Rattus norvegicus: one gene and its partners. The protein of the gene in region 1 purifies or fractionates together with the protein of each later gene. This does not show direct contact. Links are inferred from orthologs where the notes say so. Each region holds a gene or a part of one and is shown on either strand. Other genes may lie near its edges.

Evidence for each region.
Region 2: the proteins of Pomk (region 1) and Canx purify together in Homo sapiens (affinity purification with mass spectrometry; 3 studies listed by BioGRID and IntAct, counting the BioPlex papers as one, with this or other methods). This does not show direct contact. The link is inferred for Rattus norvegicus from reciprocal best matches to the Homo sapiens genes POMK and CANX.
Region 3: the proteins of Pomk (region 1) and Lrp6 purify together in Homo sapiens (affinity purification with mass spectrometry; 3 studies listed by BioGRID and IntAct, counting the BioPlex papers as one, with this or other methods). This does not show direct contact. The link is inferred for Rattus norvegicus from reciprocal best matches to the Homo sapiens genes POMK and LRP6.
Region 4: the proteins of Pomk (region 1) and Tmem59 purify together in Homo sapiens (affinity purification with mass spectrometry; 3 studies listed by BioGRID and IntAct, with this or other methods). This does not show direct contact. The link is inferred for Rattus norvegicus from reciprocal best matches to the Homo sapiens genes POMK and TMEM59.
Region 5: the proteins of Pomk (region 1) and Ghitm purify together in Homo sapiens (affinity purification with mass spectrometry; 3 studies listed by BioGRID and IntAct, counting the BioPlex papers as one, with this or other methods). This does not show direct contact. The link is inferred for Rattus norvegicus from reciprocal best matches to the Homo sapiens genes POMK and GHITM.

Annotation. Positions count from the first base shown.
Region 1 is NC_086034.1:72,789,247-72,793,560, reverse strand, and holds the start of Pomk (protein O-mannose kinase), read right to left. Parts: upstream 2,813-4,314; 5' UTR 2,788-2,812; intron 2,225-2,787; exon of another isoform or gene 2,091-2,224; intron 1-2,090. UniProt on the Homo sapiens protein: Protein O-mannose kinase that specifically mediates phosphorylation at the 6-position of an O-mannose of the trisaccharide (N-acetylgalactosamine (GalNAc)-beta-1,3-N-acetylglucosamine (GlcNAc)-beta-1,4-mannose) to generate phosphorylated O-mannosyl trisaccharide (N-acetylgalactosamine-beta-1,3-N-acetylglucosamine-beta-1,4-(phosphate-6-)mannose).
Region 2 is NC_086028.1:35,126,844-35,130,357, reverse strand, and holds part of Canx (calnexin precursor), read left to right. Parts: exon of another isoform or gene 1-117; intron 118-123; exon of another isoform or gene 124-366; intron 367-1,001; coding exon 1,002-1,122; intron 1,123-1,257; coding exon 1,258-1,337; intron 1,338-2,256; coding exon 2,257-2,310; 3' UTR 2,311-3,514. UniProt on the Homo sapiens protein: Calcium-binding protein that interacts with newly synthesized monoglucosylated glycoproteins in the endoplasmic reticulum. It may act in assisting protein assembly and/or in the retention within the ER of unassembled protein subunits.
Region 3 is NC_086022.1:169,006,217-169,009,730, forward strand, and holds part of Lrp6 (low-density lipoprotein receptor-related protein 6 isoform 2 precursor), read right to left. Parts: intron 645-3,514; coding exon 414-644; intron 1-413. UniProt on the Homo sapiens protein: Component of the Wnt-Fzd-LRP5-LRP6 complex that triggers beta-catenin signaling through inducing aggregation of receptor-ligand complexes into ribosome-sized signalosomes.
Region 4 is NC_086023.1:127,201,318-127,204,831, forward strand, and holds part of Tmem59 (transmembrane protein 59 precursor), read left to right. Parts: intron 1-1,235; coding exon 1,236-1,388; intron 1,389-3,122; coding exon 3,123-3,204; intron 3,205-3,514.
Region 5 is NC_086034.1:12,915,342-12,919,533, forward strand, and holds the start of Ghitm (growth hormone-inducible transmembrane protein), read right to left. Parts: upstream 2,805-4,192; 5' UTR 2,711-2,804; exon of another isoform or gene 2,489-2,710; intron 1,370-2,488; 5' UTR 1,331-1,369; coding exon 1,199-1,330; intron 883-1,198; coding exon 783-882; intron 1-782. UniProt on the Homo sapiens protein: Plays an important role in maintenance of mitochondrial morphology and in mediating either calcium or potassium/proton antiport. Mediates proton-dependent calcium efflux from mitochondrion.

The DNA of each region.
Region 1 (4,314 bases):
TTAGAGATGCCATCTACTGTACTTCATTAGTTGTGACTGATTCTAGCACCATTAGTGAGATAATTCCCCCAACCCCAGTCTTACTGTATAGACAGACCAACCGTACAATCAATCCTCCTGCCTCACTCTCCAATGTGCTGGAATTATAAGCATTCACAACCACCCTGGTGTGAAACACAGTTTGTACATATTTCTTTATGTGTGTGTGTGTAAGAGACAGAGTCTCTGACAAAGGGTGATCCTTCCAAACCACAGATTTAATCCCACTCTCACACCCGCCTGCCTGGGGAATGCAGGCATTCAATATTCCCACTGTGCCCTGACAAACAAAACTCTTAGATGAGTCCTGAGTGGCTAGGGATGTAGAACATAGTCTATGCCAAGATGCACTGCCTTGGAGAACACGAAGGGGAAAGTAAACTTCTGGAGCCCAGTACTGGTTCACCTACTCTCCACACACTCACGCATGCATGCACACACACACACACACACACACACACACACACACACACACACACACACGCATGTACACATGAATGCACACATGCACTGTGCCGCACTCCAGCCCCCAAACATTCCTAGGTGCTCAAAGAAACCCTTTAGGAGATACGTAGGCCTTTCCCCTCTAGATTACACGTTCCTTGATGTTTGTCTTCTGTTGTTTGGTTCCCCACTGTCTGCAGTGCCTCTCGCGGCAGGGACTTGAGAAGAATGCACGGATTGGCAGGTCACGCTGCACTTTTCTGTGTTTATGGTCTCTGGCACGCACACTCCTGTTGTCCTTGGCTTTACTCATGGCCCCGGTGTCTCTTTTTTAGTCTATGGGGACCTGTCTGTCCCATCATGCTTCTCATCCACCCATTTCTTCTTGCACCCAGTGTCACCACACCAACACTATAGTTACATCTTCCCAGTGTCAAATCTCTTTCAACCTCTCCCTCATCTTACCTTGACCTTACCTGGGTGAATGCAAGCTTCCTGGACCCTAGAAATCATATAGTTTTAGGAAGGAAAGGATGGCGGGCTGGGCAGACTGCTCAGTGGGTAAAGTGTGAGGACCCCAGAACCCAAGAGAAGCCAGATGTACCCATAATCTCATGGATTGTAGAGACAGAATAGTCAGAAGCTGCCAGGCCAGCTAGCCAGATACATGGTGGGACATCACAAAGTGACACCGTTTCAAACAAGGCAGGAGGCCAGAGCAGCACCCATGCTGTACTCTGACCTCCACATGTGTGCCATGACACACCTGTGAAACACGCACATAGGAGCACACACTTTTGAATGTAAAACTGTCAGCCCCTTTCCGGGGTTTTGCAAGGGATGTGTGGCAGCACAGAGAAGCTGTCATATATACCTCCAGTCCCCTTCAGTTTGCGTGAGAATCTGCCAAAGGCCTATTCATTAAAGACTCGGTCTTGGCTGTTGGCACTACCAGACGGCAGCAGAACCTTGAGCAGGCAGAGTCTGTTACAAGGAAGCCTCGGAAGGTAACAGCGTGCCCTGGAAGGAGCTACTGGGACCTCAGCCTGTGTCTCTGTGCTTCCGGGGTGTCAGGAAGTAAGATGACCTCCCCACTCACGGTCTTCCCTCCTTCAGTTTCCCTTTCCACTGCTCTCTCCAGCCATGATGTGTATACTGAGCATGGGCCATAAGCAAAGGTCACAGAACGAATCCCATGATTGATCCCCAGTAAACCCTTCCCCTTTAAAAAGCTGACGATAACAAAAAAAGCCGGCACGCTCCAATGCTACCAGCATCATGGACAAAACGCTGCAGGAACCTAGAATTCATATTTTTAAATTTGCTTATTTTATACGCATGAGTGTTTGCTTGCACTCACATTGTCCAATATGTGTTGTGTGTGTGTGTGTGCCTGGTGCCCCGGGGGTCAGAATAAAGCGCTGGATTCCCTGGAACTGAAATTATGGACAGTGGTGAGCCATTAGGGAATCGAACCGAGGTCCTCTGCAACAAGGCACACAACACATGTGGCTCTTAACCACCAGCCATCCCTCCAGCCTCAGAATCCACATTATCAGCTCTATGCCGAACCCTCATTTCTTGGCAACTGGTGTGTGTTAACACACCTGTTTCTTGTGGACTGCCCAGAGCTTAGAGAATATGTGTAGCCGGCTGAGTAGGAACGTCTGGCACTGTTTAAACTCGACGGCTAGTTGATAACGGTGAAAAAGGACCAGCGGCTGTATGCTCACTGCTTAGGCTAGACAGGGAAAATTAAGTGAACTGCCAATGTGCAGATAGTTTATATGATTCGAGAAGGCGCTGGTGCCACCAATTCGGTTCAGACTAAATCTCACTTCCCGGTAACTATTTAAATATTCTGGATGTTATTTAGTTTGTGCAGGCGAAAGGGCGGAGGCATCAAATTTACTAAACGTCTAAAATTGGGTTTTAACAAAGAAGTGGGGAGAGAAGTGAGAGGGAGGGGGAGAGAAAGCGAGGGCATGGCGGGCAGTCTCCGCTCGCTCACACAGTTCAGTAGCAGCGCCCGGTGCACGGTAAGCACCCTGAGCGGGTGTGCACCGTACGCACCCGGAGAGGGGTTCTCGGTGAGCACCCGAGGGGAGTTGCACGATGAACACCCGGAGAAGGGGTGCACGGTAAGCACCCTAGGGGCCGCTGCCAGCACCAGTTTCCAAGTCTAGTCCCAGCTGAGCCCCATGAGAGCCCACTCTGGGGCTGGGCCGGGAAGATGGGGCCGGGGGTCGGGTTCGGAAAGGCCCCACAGAACCCTGGCCCACCTCACTACGCCCCGGAGCCTACCTGGAGACCACCAAATCCGGCTCGCATCCCAGAACGCCTGCGCGGCCGGAAGCGGTCGGAGGCGAGCGTTAGGCTGCCCTCTGGTGGCCGCCTCCCGCCTCACACTGGACGCCCGCGGCAGTGTACCCTCACCCAGCCAGCCCCTGGTTCTGGTTTCCTCTAGCCAAATTGGTAAACGCCAGGAAGCAGCAGCAGGGTTGAGCCTGGGGCTGAGGACCTCAGAGGGTTGTTTCCCCGATCTGCAGTTCTACACTCTCTGCAAAGCGGCGGCTGCCAAAGAGGGATCGTCAGAAAAGCAGCATGAGAAAATCGCAGACTGAGCCTCAGTGTACTGATGCCTCTGGATTTGATAACTACACGTAAAGGTGACTGTGGAGCTTCCACCTGAGACGCAAAGCTGCACTTCACAGACTTCAAGCGACGTGAAGGCTGGAAGGTCTTAATGTGTCACGAGAGGGGTAAGGGTGGGAAATGGAAAATCAGACATAACACCACCTAATTTGTTGTACTTAAAAAACTGATCTACTTTCCAGATTCGAAATCAAGACAGTACAGCGTGCAGGTTTAAAAAACCATCTGTGTTTATTATCCAAACGATGAGTGTTAACTCGAAGCATGCACCTTGATCAAGCACCAGAGGAGTGGGGCAAAAACAAAACAATTCTCAAAAAAAAAAAAAAAAAAAAACCAAAACAAAACCCTCTAAGCAACCTTTGCTTCTCGGACTGACAAATGCGTGCCTATGTGGTATGCCAGAGAACTCAAAGAAATGATAGAAAGACTCGCTGGAAATTGTGATCTACCTAATATCAATGCTATGAACTAAACTCAGGTAGTGTGGAGCCATTTCTCCAGCACCAAGGATATTTATTGTAGAAAATATACCTGGATATATAACAGCAAGAAATAAATTACATGAAATATATACACATATATGTACATATACACATATACATATGCATATATATATGCCATTAAGAACACTGTTCAATGAATAGTTTCCGTTTGAGAAGCTTTAAAACCTCTGGTGACGATGGAGGTAATGGCTGTAAAATAATGTGTATGAGATGCCATTGAAATACCCACTTAAAATGGCTAGGATAGGGGCTGGAGAGATGACGGCTTAGTAGGTGAGAGCATTGGTTGCTCTTCCAGGGGACCAGGGTTCCAGTCATCCACTTGGCAGCTAACCACTGCCTGCAACCCAGTTCTAGAGGATTAGACCTTCTGCCTCTGCCCTCTGAAGGCACTGCACACAGTGGTGCTCAGACATATAAGCACGCAAAGCACATCAAGTAAAATCCAAAACAACCTTTTACAAAATGAATAAAACCATGAGGGGTGTTATATACAGTTTGCTAGAATAAGAAGTGATGCTGTAGGGGCCTGAGAGGGCCAGCAGGTCAGGGTGCTTGCCGTCAAGTCTGACAATCTAAGTCCGAGATCCCTAGGACCCACATGGTAAGGTGAGTAAGGATGCTCACCGTGTCCTTTGCTCTCCAAATGCACATGCATGGACACACGCGC
Region 2 (3,514 bases), on another chromosome or scaffold:
GGCATCGGAACTCAATATGGATGGATGGTTGTGAGCCACCATGTGGTTGCTGGGAATTGAACTCAGGACCTTTGGAAGAGCAGACAGTGCTCTTAACCTCTGAGCCATCTCTCCAGCCTGAGATTTTCTTTTTTTTTTTTTTTTTTGGTTCTTTTTTTTGGAGCTGGGGACCGAACCCAGGGCCTTGCGCTTCCTAGGCAAGCGCTCTACCACTGAGCTAAATCCCCAACCCGAGATTTTCTTTAGTAGTTCGTAAATACTGGTCCATGTTTTGCAGGGGTTCCTTGTACCCAGATGATGACAGGATTTAGAGTTCCTTGTTTGTCATTCCACTCTGTTCTTGTCCTTTATATGGAGTGATCCTATCTAGGGGAAAAAGAACAATATGGATATAAGATCAGCCATCTGGGCACAAAATAGTCTTCCTCATTATTTCTATTCTTATTTATCTATGGCTCTTTCCCTGCCTTCACTCTCTCAAACAATACATCTTAAAACTGTGCTTTCAGGTTTTACAGCCTCAGTGTTTTTCTTATTCAGACCTTGTTTCTTGCTGTCTCCTACTAACTTAGGATTTTGACTCTATTTAAATTATTTATACTTTGGGGTTGGGGATTTAAGGCCCTGGGTCCAGTCCCCAGCTCCGAAAAAATGAAAAGGAAAAAAAAATTATTTATACTTTGTCAGATTCAAAGGTTTCTTTCTAGCCTTACCCTCATCATTCACTGTTGGAGTATATGTATCTGAGTCAGCTTGACAAGCTTAGCCTGTGCTTCCTTACTGAATCTGTTTTGTTTTTCATGATACCTCTCTTCCTTAACTTCCCTCTCAGTCCCTCCCATGGGGCAAACCTGTAGAGTAAAAACAATGTCTTTCATGTGTCTGTATAACTGCCTTGTACACAACCTTGTATATAATTTTGCCTTGTAGACATTCAGGAATTGAGGGGTAATATTTTTGTTATAACATAAACATGGTTCTTATACTTGACTATATTTCAGAAACAGTCCAATGCTATGGAGTACAAGAAGACAGATGCTCCCCAGCCAGATGTGAAGGACGAAGAAGGGAAGGAAGAAGAGAAGAACAAGGGAGATGAAGAGGAAGAAGAGGAGAAGCTTGGTGAGTAGAGTCTAGAAATCTATTCTAGACCCTGATTAACAAAATAAGCTACAGTGGGTTGTTCTTAAATTATGCTATAATTATTGTCAGAACTTTAAGTGAAGTTCTGTTTAGTAGTTTCATTTTCTGTCCTAGAAGAGAAACAGAAGAGTGATGCTGAAGAAGATGGTGGCACTGGCAGTCAAGATGAGGAAGATAGCAAGCCTAAAGCAGAGGTAAGGCAGGATAATAAATGCTTCCAGCCACCTAAGCTGAAAACATATTTAGTAAAGATTTTTTTAAGTAAGTTTATGTGCAGTGTGGTTATGGTATGTACGTGTGAGTGCAAGTGCTTCAATTGCCAGAACTGATGCATCCCCAAGGCACTGAAGTTACAGGTGCCATGGATCCTCTCAAAGAGCCATCTCTGCAACCCAAAGGCAGTGCTTTATACATTAGTTTACAATGACTGGAAATTTTTTTCTGTGTGGGCAAGGTGGGTCCTCCAATCCTTTTTTTAAATAAATAGGAGTACCAAGTTTCTTAACAGTCCTGTGGTGTATGTCCTCAAAGGTATTTCTTGAATACCACTACAGTGGCTTGGAACTCAGAGGTCTGCATGCCTTTGCCTTCCAAAAGCTAAGATTAAAGGTGTGTGCCACCACCATGTGATATGCTTAAAACTTTTCGAGACAAGCTTTCATGTAGTCCACACTGTTCGTTCTGTGTAGTCAAGGGTAATACTGAGCTTCTAGTCTTCCTGCCGTCATACCCAGTATGTGCTCTACTCTATTTTATGTGTTGCTGTGGGTGCTCTCAAGGGTACCTGGATTTAATTCTTAATACACATATGGTGGCTCACAACTGCCTGTCATTCCAGTCCCGGGGGATCGGATGCCCTCTTCAGGCATGCACAGGGTACAGAGATACAGATTCAGGCAGACACATCGGATAAAGTAAAAAATCCTCTACCAAGTTAGGTTTAAGGAAAGTACATGTTTTCTGAAAATAAAGACTAAAATTGAATACCTATAATTCTAGTACCTGTCACATTATAGCTTTTCACCAATTGAGTGACTTAGTTTAAATGCTTGTGCAAGTTTGACAGCATTTGTGTTTAAATATGCTAATTATATGAACTCTTTCAACTTATAGGAGGATGAAATTTTGAACAGATCACCAAGAAACAGAAAGCCACGAAGAGAGTGAAACAATCTTAAGAACTTGATCTGTGATTTCCTCTCCCTCCCCTTCCCCTGCAAATATGGTCCTAGGAGAGGGCCTGGTGTACCTTAGGTGGGAGCTCAGAAAACCTCAAGATGTCACCATCAACAGGTTCCAGTGAATACTAGCCTGTAATTTTAAACATCTAGCAGTAAACTATTGCAGTTGTAATGTAAAGGACCCTGTTTCTGTAGAAAAGAAAACATTTAACATAATGGTTGTGAAATGTAACATGAAGCAACTAACTAGTGTTTTGTTGTTTTTAAAATCTTCCAGGTTTGTCTTTTTTTCCTTTTTTTAAAGATACAATGATAGAATTTTTGCCAATTTAAAATCTTGGCTTAATTTAATATATTAATTTGTTCATGCAGAAATAACACCAACATTAGGAATGCTAGGGAGAATGAATTGCAGTTTTTATAACAATTTTTTTAAGTTTGGTATTAAAACATTCATGTGTCTGTCCCAAAAATTGTAATCACGTTCAAGTGCAGTCATTTGTGGTTATAATCTTGTTTTGTGTGCTTCCATTACTTAATTCCTCTTAAGGACACAGAGATTAGATGGAAGCTCAATTTATATCAAATTTACATTGTATTGAATAGACCCAAAAAGAACTAAAAGGAGACTTTCACTTGGTGTTGGTCAGATCATAAAGTGCAGTGTTCTGTTGTTGGAACTGCTCCATTCACAAACAGCTTTGCAGAGGAAAGGAGCTGGCTTAATGCAGCAGTTTATACTGTACTTCCCATATAGGAGGTCTGACAGCTCAGATCCTCTGGAGCACAAGGCTTTTTAAGGAAGGCTGGTGTGCCTGAGTAGATAATTACATCACTTGTTCCACTGTGTTGACACTGTTTTCCTCATGCATCTCCTCAGTCCCTAGCTTTCTCTGCTATGCATTTTCTTCACAGTGCAGCTTGCAGTCCGTTGCTGAAAATTATAAGCTCTGCATAGTGTTGGCTTTACTGTGATTACATGTTTCTTTTTTAGCAAGCCCACATCTTTCTAGGGTCCAACTACAGGATAGATTACAGACTTTCCATTAGTGTCTATTTCTTTTACTCTGTGTAGACTTTAGAAAGTCTAATCCAGAGATGGGCCAATTCAGAATTGACTATAATTGAACACAGGCTAAAAGTATTTATGGGAGGATTGACACATAGCATGAGTTATTTGACTTTTGTGT
Region 3 (3,514 bases), on another chromosome or scaffold:
AACCACGCTCACACCAGTGTGCTCACACCAGTGTGCTCACACCAGTGTCAGCACGTTAGATCTGGAGAGGACAGAGGAGGGTACACTCTCTCCCTGTCAACCAGCTATTTCCAAACTCTTCTTTGTGAACAGCAAACTGCTCTGTCTTTTAACGCCTTTATTCCTACACTCAATAGCCTCAGGCTCCCCCAGTGGTGAAGGAATTCACCAAAGCACTGGCTGACATTTTCAGTGGTACAGTCAGAGGCCTGGAGCGGGCAAACGGAATGATACTTAAGTCTTTCTGCATAGAAAGTCAGTATAAAAGTGTAAAAAAAATTCTCACAATTCCTTAAACCCAGAGTAATCTAGTCTGTAATCCTAGAACTTAAAACTAGACAAGACCAGATTCTCATAAACCTGTCTTCGCTTACCTGGAAGAGATCCAGACAGAGAGCTTGGGTGAGGAACATAACCAAGGGGCACAGAAGCTGGGCCGTGAACCACGTAGTCATTAGTCATGGTTTCCCCATCCCCCTTCATACGAGGACACAGCATCCTTTGGCAGATAAAGTATATGGTTCCAGACACAAAAATGGTGACAATTACTCCGATAACGGAACCAACTGTGTTGGTGGCCTGTGGTGCTGGCTCCTCAGTTGGATCTAAAATGGAGAACACTGTAGTTATCTAATAGAAAAACAACTGCATATTCAAAATAGCAATACAAGAATGCAAAAGTAAAAATGTTAATAAATCAAATACACAGTTTATATATAAACACATATACACATACATATCATGCAACATAAAGATATGAATTAAATGACATTATTTAATTTAAATAAACTTAAAGAAGCTACTGTTAAATGAAGATACGACAACAGGCCAGGAAGTGTCATTGTAAACTTTTGGCCAGAAGGGTCAGATCTAGACAGACATCACTAAATGCTTTCAGTGGAAAGGTGAAAAAGCCAAGAACAGCCCGGAACTAGAGCTTAGATTTGAATAGTGCCACTTAGGTTTAGTGAAGGAAATCTGTAAGCTACAGATGAGTGAAGGCACTTGGATCCAACCACTACTGTCCTCAGGCTCCCTGGCTGCATGAGAGCAAGATAAACACAGGTCCTTGACTACTAAAGGATTCGAGGTGGATCCCAGCACACCCACCTTCCTGGATTTCTGACTAATTGAGTGTTTAAGAAGCAGAAGGCATGAATTTGGAAAGAGTAAGAAGTGGGTTATCAAGTTTAGCACCCATAGTTATTAAGAAGAAAAAATTCTTCCACTCTGGCTAGTTAATCCATGGATAATCTCATAATTGAAGACCCCTTAAATACTTCCTGCTTGCTGATACCCCAATTTCCTGTCATGTAGCTACACTCATCCCTAATAGAAACAGGAGTGACAATGGCAGGGAGCAGTCTCTGGCTGTGGCCATCAGCTCCCAATTCAGTGTGTCCTCTGGGCACACACTCTCTCTGTGGTCCCCACCAGCTGTCATCACTTTTGTACTCTCTCCTGGTGCCTTGCTATGCCTCCCCAATGCCAGGATTCAAGAACGCATCCTTCTCTTGACGTTCTGCCCCACATTGCTGGTCTCTGGGTCACACTGCTGTTAGGCTTCCTCCCTCGCCACTGCAGGGAAATGGCTCTCCTATTTGCCATATTTGAGAGATTCTTCAACTCAAAGACCTCTCTACATGCTCAATAGAGTAGGCAATGTTTTCTTTTAGATGGTATCTGCTCACTGTGGAAGACGCCGTTCTCCTACTTTTTCTGTTTCTTTGTTGAAACAGGGTCTCGCCTCGTCCAGGCTGGCTTCGATCAGCTATGCAGCTGAAGCTGCACCTCAAATTGTGATCTCATGCATCCCTACTGCTGGGGTCGCAAACATGGACAACCATGCCTATTTACTAGTTCTGATTACTCCTGCTCCCAATTCATTGTGTATGCTTCCCTGAGTTATTACAATGTACTGTTTCCTCCATTGCTCTCTGGAGACTTTGTCCATCACTCTAAGTTCAATTACCATTCATAGTCTAGAGAGTACAAACACCTTCCTGAGCCGTAGACACATTTGATCAAGTTCCTAACAGTTGTGAAAAACAGTCTATAGTTACCCTTAACGTAACAAACCAAACTCACCACTATCACCACCTCTCCAGATGTGAAACAGATAAACCAGCTCAAGGCCAGGGCAAGCTGTAGAGTGCACGCCCGGGACAGCCATTTATATTTCACAGACAGCAGCCTGCACTGATTAGCAGAGCACTGCACCCACACCAGGGCCCCAGGTGGTGCTTCAGCGCTTAGTTTCTGCTGTGTATCTTGGGTACGACTCCAGTCACTCTGAGAGGTACACATGGGTCAACTTAATGCCAACTGTATCTAAGTGGCGACCAATCCCTGTGTCTCTGAAGTAACTGAAGCCCCGCCTTCCTTTCCCAGCCACGCTGCTCGATCCTCTTGATTTAGATCATCTTTTGTCAGAACCACAAAAGCCTCATCAGCAGATGGTGGAAAACTTAGAGGGTTGCAACAGGCATTTAAACCAAAGGAAAGAGAAACCATCAAGATGTAGCCTAGCACCTTGTATGCATAAATGCTGCTGTGTGACACCCGTTTGTCTACACATGCATCTCATCACTGCACTGCTCTTGATGGAGTCCAAAGAATTTGGAAAATCAGCAGCCTAGTAGATGTTTCTGCCTACAGTCTTAGCACCTGAAACACATTTCATAGCATTTGCTCTCAGGTTCCCACCCTCGTCTTTTCTTTCAATGTCAGTGATCCTGCATATGAACTGTGTACCACCTCTGCTCACTAGTAGAAAAGCAAACAGTACCCTGTGATCTCACCTTAATGATCTTACACTACTGCTCTCTCTTGGTGACCCCCTAAAGCACAGCCAATGTGGCAAGTCCATTAAACATAGCAGTTCGAGAAAGGTGACTGGTTTCACACCTTTCTGGCTCTAAACATAGGATAGCATCTCTACCGATCTGTAGAACAAATACTTTATCAGCATTTGATCTCAAGTACTTTTCCAGGAAGCTGCTTTGATCTACTCCATCTACATTCCTAAGAAGCTGGCTGTCTCCTCCTCTGTGCGACCACTTGTGTGGCTTTATAACAATTCTGATGCTCACTTTACTCTGACAACAGTACCCCCGTGGACCAGATTCCACCTTCACCAGGCTAGATGATTCATTCACTCAAGCAGTTCATTCTCTTTACAACCATGAGAAATATCAGCATCATTTTACAGGTGAGGAAACCGATACTTAACGAGAACAAATATTTTTCTGCTGAAAGAGTGATCTGTGGTTCCAGCCCCCATTGGCAGTCCTGATCCCACCTTCTCTCCATCTGAACTACACAGGCTATCCCTGGCACACAGCATGGGGAACCAGTACCTGCTGAAGGATTTATGAATGCTCAAACTTTTACAACTCTACCACAATTTGTGATGGTCAATCTACTTATGCTAAATTCTACTCAGAATTATGGGTACTGATTTGGGACATGCTGT
Region 4 (3,514 bases), on another chromosome or scaffold:
TGGCTCACAACCATCTGTAATGGGATTGGATGCCCCTCTTCTGGTGTGTCTGAAGACAACTACAATGTATCCTATACCTGAAATAAATAAATAATTCTTTAAAAAAAAAAAAAGAAATCCACGCTTCTAACTTCAGTGACTTTTAGAATAAATTGCAGTTGCACAACCATCATCACTATCTAATTCCAGAGATTTCCATCACCCCAGAATAAATCTCACACCCATTAGCAATTGCTTTCCCCTGGTTTGCAGTAGGTTTCCCTCCTTTCATATGCACGCTGCCCTGTGCTAATCCCTTTCCTAATTAAAGTATTCTGACTAAACACAGGTGCACATTGACGATTGAAATAGATATGTAAGTAGACATGCTTGCAACCTCAGCTTTCAGGATGCTAACTAAGCCTGGAGGATTGCAAGGGGGAGGCTAGCCTGGGCCACATAGCAATACCTTATCTCAAAAAAATGAAAACAGAAACACCTGGTCTCTGATCTCTTCAAATTTGTAGCCTCACTAAATACTTTTGAGTGGACTTGTGATAGGTCTCATAGCTACTACATGGGGAAACTGGACCCTGAGTACAGATTGTCCTACTCTAAAGCTGTCCTTTGCTTTGCAGTGGCTCTTGTGGTGTGTCTCCTGATGTCACATGAGCCAACACTATCCCTAGAGCTCAGTAGTCTGCACCCCAAGTCTGTGCCCCAGGGTCAGAGCCACTTAGTAAGTTAAGAAGTCAGAATTGGGTTGAGCGAGGTTGCGTCAGCTGGTGTTAAAATCTTGTCAGCAGCACCCATCACTTAAATTAATACCACAGAATACCAGTCAGCTTTCAGTGCAACCAAGCCTCATGTTTTCTGTGTACATTTTTGCCTTTGATGGTCATTAAGACATGATTTTCCCTCCTGGGAATGTTAAGGGTAAGAATGATTTGATTTCTCCTTTCCCATTCAAATTTCTTTTAATGAGATCTTAAGAGTTTCCATGTTGGGGGCTTGGCTCAAAGCCTGTTAGCCTGATAGAAGTCGTGGGTTGTGTATGAGTGTTTGAGTTTGGGTAGCCTGCCATGTTAGCTTTACCAGAGTTGATCTGCATCAGCAGCAGGGTGGAGTCTGATGCTGGTGGTTGTGACTGTTCGTGAAATTATCTATACCCTCTCCCGGCAAGGTTTGTTCTCTTGAGTACACACATCATAAATAAAATAATTCTTTTTCCTTAAACGCTTTCCTTGTTTGTTTAGCTCATGTCCCTGATGCCAAGGATGCACCTCCTCTTCCCTCTGACTCTGGTGAGGTCCTTCTGGAGCGACATGATGGACTCTGCACAGAGCTTCATAACCTCTTCATGGACTTTTTATCTTCAAGCTGATGATGGAAAAATAGTCATATTCCAGGTGACACCTGTGTCGCACACATTGACCGAAGTACAACAATGGGCGCTGTCCGTGTCTTACATAAGGGCCTTGGCATAGAACCATGTAGTCAGTCACCTAATGCTTTTGTCAAATGCTGCTGCTTAACTGGCCTTGTGGAGACCCTGAGCAGCAGGACACAGTGTAGTCACCTTTCCTTCTTGCCTTGAGGCCTTACCTCAAGCTTAGTGGTTATTTGGTCTTCTTGGTTTGACTAACTTGGAAAATGAGAAATTTAGATAGGAAGGTAATACCATATACCTTGAACATAAATAGTGGCATATAACACAGACACTAGAAAAGTGTTAATGATACAATAGGAAGTTTATGTGTTTTCCTCTAGCTGCCTGTAAGAACGTGGTACAGATGCATTTGCCCTCCAGGGAGGTAATTTTCCTCTTGTCTAGAAATTGACTGTGTGATAAGATGTTAACAAGTTCTATATAGTCTTAGAGTGCCTATGAGAAGTTATCCAGGATCCTGAGGATGCTACTATTTGGGGATGCTAAATCTCATAATATGAAGTGACATTGCATTTACATATAACCTACAAACTCCCCCCTGTGTAGGTAGTTATGGGTCATTTAATAATATAGTATTCTTGAACTGAGATGCTACAGTATTACTAGGTGGGGATGTCATTATAGTGTTGCTGTCACAGTGCGTGACTGCGCTTTAAATCACCCCTGAGTTGCTTGTGAAATCTGCACAAATAATTGTTATGATGTAGTTTAATGATAATGGAGATGCCTGTGCACACTCAGTACAGATCCCCCCAGGAGTGGTTCAGTTACAGACATGAAGTGCAGTGACATAGAACGCATGGGTGTAGAGAACTGACTGGTTTCTGAAGCTCTAAACAGTGTTGTGAGGTTGTATCACCCCTGCTTCTTGGTGAGGAAGCTAAGCACCCAGCTTTCCTAGAGTCGTGCTGTTGGTTACTAGTAATGTGATATTCAGCTCAAACTCAGGGCATTTTTAGGCTCCACACCCATAGTGCATCCTGACATCCTATTTTCTTCAATTCAGTAAGTTCCTCATCTATATCAGTCAGCAGGTTGCGTTGTGACACTATCTAGCTCTCACGTAGTAAGCCACGGCTTTAAGCATTATTATAGTGGTTTACCATATGACTACTTTGTGATTCCTAGCATTATCCTACGTTTGGGTCCTCTGCACTTAATTTGATGGCAATAAAACACAGTGTCTTCTTATATTTATGGATAAGTTCTGTGTCCTAAAGCTACATACACAAAAGCATCCTCAGTGGATGAGGGATTCTCTTTCTCTCAAGTCTATGTCAGCTTGAGTGTAACTTGGATGAAGAAAGTCCCTTTCCAGAGGCTCAGAGATATGAGGTGTAGAATGCATGCCTGTAGTGTGTCAGAAGCTTAGCGTTAGGAAGGAACAGAATGTTCCAGATGAGAAAAGAGTTCGTATGTACAATATGTATTTGGTTAAAATATACTATATCCAGGATAATATATAATATATATTTGGTTAAAAATTTAAGCAGGCTGCTGAGTTATTTCTGATCAACTAAAATCGGAATTCATTTTTACCAGCTAAATAATATTGAAGTTTTGTGGTTGATGTGTTTTATCTGTTACTGTTTTTCAATTTGAAGTTTGATAGTATGGATAGTGTGTTCTAGAACTTGTTACTAAGAACAGCGTCTGAGGTATGAATGACATAATGCTTTCCTCACCATTTTAGTCTAAGCCGGAAATTCAGTATGCACCGCAGTTGGAGCAGGAGCCTGCAGACTTAAGACAGTCATCGTTAAGCAAAATGTCCTGTAAGTTTTATTTGAAGTAGATGGTTAAACCTTAGCTGTCAGATCTGTTGTAATTGCCCACTCTGACTTCCAGTTCTGGTTCCATCTACCTGGGGGTTTGCACTTCTAATGAGTTCCACATCCTGGTAATGCTGCTAGCATGGGGACCATGCACTGTTCTAAACTCCATTTCAAAGCTTCCAATGTGAACTAACAAAGTAGTGGGTTTTTTCCCAATAAGCCTAATCGTGATACTACCTTAAAAGTGTGAGTTTCCTATTCTCTTTTTTATTTCCATGCTAGATACGAATTTTAAATCATAGGAACATCA
Region 5 (4,192 bases), about 60 Mb from region 1:
ATAAAAAACACATCTTACTTTCTTCAACTTAAACTTGTTTACTAAAAATGTAACTGGAAAATCCTGATTTTTTTTTTTTCCTCTGTGGTCAAGCCTCTAATCAAAAAGAAACGCCTTGCATGATACTAATCAGGGCTTTCCTGAACTATATAATACGGTGACACTTCTAAAACTGTCAAGTAGCAAGGCTTCTGTTGAAATTTAGGCAAGATTAGCAATCTGGAAGTCTGGCTTCAGAATCTCCAAAGTTAAAATCCAAACTACGAATCAAATGACTTCATTAAGGTAATGCCTTTCAAGGGGCTGCAGATATGGCTCTGTGATTAAGAGCCCTTTGCTACTCTTACAGAGGACCTGAGTTCAGTTCCCAGAATCTACTTCAGGTGGCATACAGTCACCTATAACTCTAGTCCAGGCGATCAGATATCTTCTTCTGGCCTCTGTGGGCACTGGCATCCACCTGGCAGGTAGTCACACAGACGTACACATGAACAGAAATTGACATTCACAAGCACCTGCTTGAATGAAGATTCTCCATAACTTGAAATAAACTTCCTGAATAGGCTCTACCATTTTACATAATAGGATGATAATAAGTTTGGTTTTTCTAAAACTAGTAAATCTTTAATACAATTAGGAACCATGAAAGCCAATGCAAAGTGCCCATCTGTTTTGGGTTAACAGACCCCCCAAAATAGAAGTATGGCTTTTCAGGAAGCTGCCTGTGAACTAAACACACACACACATACAGGCCTCACATTAAATACTAAACTTCCGCATACTTTTAAAGACTTTTTCCAGTGATGGCTCCAAGGCTGCCTCTTTCAGTTCTTGGCCAGTTTTCCCACGGTGAGTCCTAATTCTTGTCTTGGTAGCATATTCCTGACATAGACAAAAAGACATACCATCCAAAGCAACAACAGTATATTAGAAAGTTACCTAACATCTTAGATGTGGGAAAGGCGTGGGACCCCTCTTAAGGCATTTGTGATAAGGAGTGACTGGAAGGATGTAAACTGGCAAGGATAAAGCTCACTGAAAACTTTACTATTGCTTTAGTAAACCACTGTTACAGTAACTAATGAGTAAGTTACTCCCAACCAGTGTGAAGCCCACAGAACAGCCCACTAATCAACTACCACCATCACCACCAAATTCTAACAGACAACCTGGATGGGTGGGGGAAAGCATTCTTTACCCTGCTGGGTGTTAAGAGCCATTGGTTCTTTGTGATGGAATTCTTCACAAGTGGAGAGGCCTTGGTGATGAAAGTGGGCTGGAAAACCCTGGAAGGTAGTGTCCGGAGACACACAAGCCTTGCAGCCAACATGGTGGGTGATATACCGGTTTACTAAGCAGATCTGAAATGCTAGTTAGAAAGGTAGAAGGGAAAAAATTAAGTTAATTAAGAAGGAAACATAGCCAAAATCAGAAGAAACTAAATTGCAATAGAAAAAAATAATCAGAACAGTGGCTTCACTATTTTTAATGTTGTATCCTCCCCTGTTCCTTCTAACTCATGAAATCTAATTTGGAATGGGCAGCCAATGATATAAATCCAAGTTTGACCAGATATATGGAATAGAGATTTAATGTCATTATGTTGACACAATCACAGATTCTATAACCGCAGCTTTGCCCAAGATTTACACCATCACTCAGTGAATAAAAGAATTTATGTAACTTTTCAGCACAAGAAAAACACCCAGAGAAAAGATTAAGGTCACATTTTACAAGACTAAAATAAAATCGACAAAAGCCAGGCATGTATACGTCTACTAAATAGGTCAAATATTATTTCCCTTTAAGATACGACAGACACTTTCAAATTAATTTATTCCACTACATAACATTCGATCAAAACATTAAGAATTCTTCTTGTATTCTTAATAGGGTAACCCTTGCCCCCAACATTCTAAAATTGAATTGTCTCAGCTCCAGATAGTTAAGTGAACGTCTCTCTGTAATGCTATAAAGTCACATTTCTGGCCAATGAGTTGTGATGAATTTTAGGCAAGTGATTGGTATTTCCGCCTTCTCCCCATTTGTAAATACAAGAAAACTAGGCCAAAACAGCTTTTTGACGACAGTGCCTTGCTTGGGACTTTGAAATTGCCCAAGATTTACCCTAAAACTCCAGGAATGTAACGAAGTTTTAACTAGCACCTCCAAAGTTAAGAGCTTCCGGAACTATGAAGTGCACACAACTCTAGGCATCTGACCTTGCGGAAAAACCCGCGAGCCCTTCTGGTACTTTCATGCCATTACATCATCTCAACATATTGCTTCAGCTTACTAACCTGAACAGAGTCTAATCTGAGTGGCCTTATGTTGGGGAACAGCTAAGAGGGTTATCGGCCATGTGTTTATGTGCGGGTTCTGGTCCTCTGAAACGGGCCCCTGGGCTAGGTCTGTACGAATTACTGCCGACCCTTCCTAAAGCTTTCTTGAGCTCGAGTGTTCGGGTGTGCCCTTCCTCCCCTCTCACCGCTAGCCCGCAGCCTCCGCGTCCACGCACCACCCCACGGTACCCTCTCCCGGTCAGCTAGGGCGACCACGCGGGTCCTCGAGCGGCTGACTCAGCATCTCCCTGCCGAGGGAGATGTAGAGAGGGCGAGCCCGGCCTTCCCGCCCGGAGCAGCCAACCCAGATCCCGCTGTGCCGACGTCCATCACGAGAACTGGGATTCTCAGGACTCTCGGGGCAGTACCTCAGCTCCGGTCACCTCTGCCACGGGGCTCCCTTCCGGGCCACCGAAACCGAGAGTGTTCGACCTCCCTCTGCCGCTCCTCCGCAACCCCGCGACTCACTGCGTCACGCAATATCCGGACAAAAGGTAAATAGTACAAGCAGCCAATCAAGAGCAGGCTTCTAACGGAAGGGAGGGCACCGTGGCGAAGGCGGGTCTTGGCTTGGAGACCGGACCAATGGAAGTTTGGGTTCCGAAAAAACGTCACAGTCAGAGTCCATTCTAGGTCTGGGCAACGCAGCCCACTCTGGCGTTTTAGTTTTGGGCAGCTGCGTTGTGTGCACTCGCAGCCAATAGGTGTAAAAAATGGGAGGTGGACTGGTTGGCAGCGCACTCCTTAAATCCCAACCTTTGGGAGGCAGGTGGATCGCTGTGAGCTCAAAGCCAGCCTAGAATTACTTTTGTTATTGGATTTAGGTCTACCAATGACTTTTCACATTTAAGTTGGATTTTAGTTCTATTTAAGAGTCATTCCTAAAACGCGTTTTAGGCCGAGAGTAATTAGTTTGGGTTAATCGTATAGTCGCGGTGACTGGCAGGAAATTTATCAACCCTTAGAGGTATAATTTAGTCAAACGTTCGTTAATTGCTTCCTTTTTATCACTGCTGGGACTGTGGCTAGGCTGGGTGTCTTGAGCTATGGGGTATGTGCTTGGCACGCTCTCCTTTTGATTCATTATTCAAATGTTAAAAGATATGATACTGGTCTAGTGAGTTTTGCCTGTATTAATTTACTTTGAATTAATTATAAGGCCAGGACCAAACTGAAAGATCCCTGAAGGGACACCCTTACTCAAGTCTCGGGAAGTTGCGGACCCCAGACACACGAGAGACCAATCTTGATGCAATACGCAGAGGCGAGGTTTATTACAGAGGGCTCCGGGCCGACACGTATCCCTCGCAGGAGACAGCGGTGTCTACCCTGTGTGGCTGGGAGAAGGGCTATTTAAAGGAAGAAGTCACAAGCCCCAGGAGATAAGGGGATGTCAAAAGGAAATACCAAAAATGTCACGAGGGGAAACTCTCAAAGTCACAGGATTGTTCTTAAGACTCTAGGGTTTAAATCAGGGGAAAGGTCAAGCCCTCATTCTCCTGAGAACAGATCTTGATTCCTGTCCTTTAGGGTAAATGTTTGTCAGAGTTGACGAGGCATCTGCATCTGATACACATCTGGTTAGGCTTCGGCCCCGGTTTCCTGGAATATTATCTGCAGGACACAATGGCTGGAACATTATGTAGGGCACAATGGGGGCTTGAACAAACATCACTGGGGCAGAACAGAACCCGTTACTCCTTTACTCACGTCCAGTGACATCCGGAGGGTCAGTGAGTCTGCACCAGTCCTCCTGCATTTTTAACCACCTGTCTTCCTGAGTCAGATCCTGTTGCTGAGTTTTGAGCTAATTTAAAACTCTATCTCTCACAAACCTTTTGTATTTATGG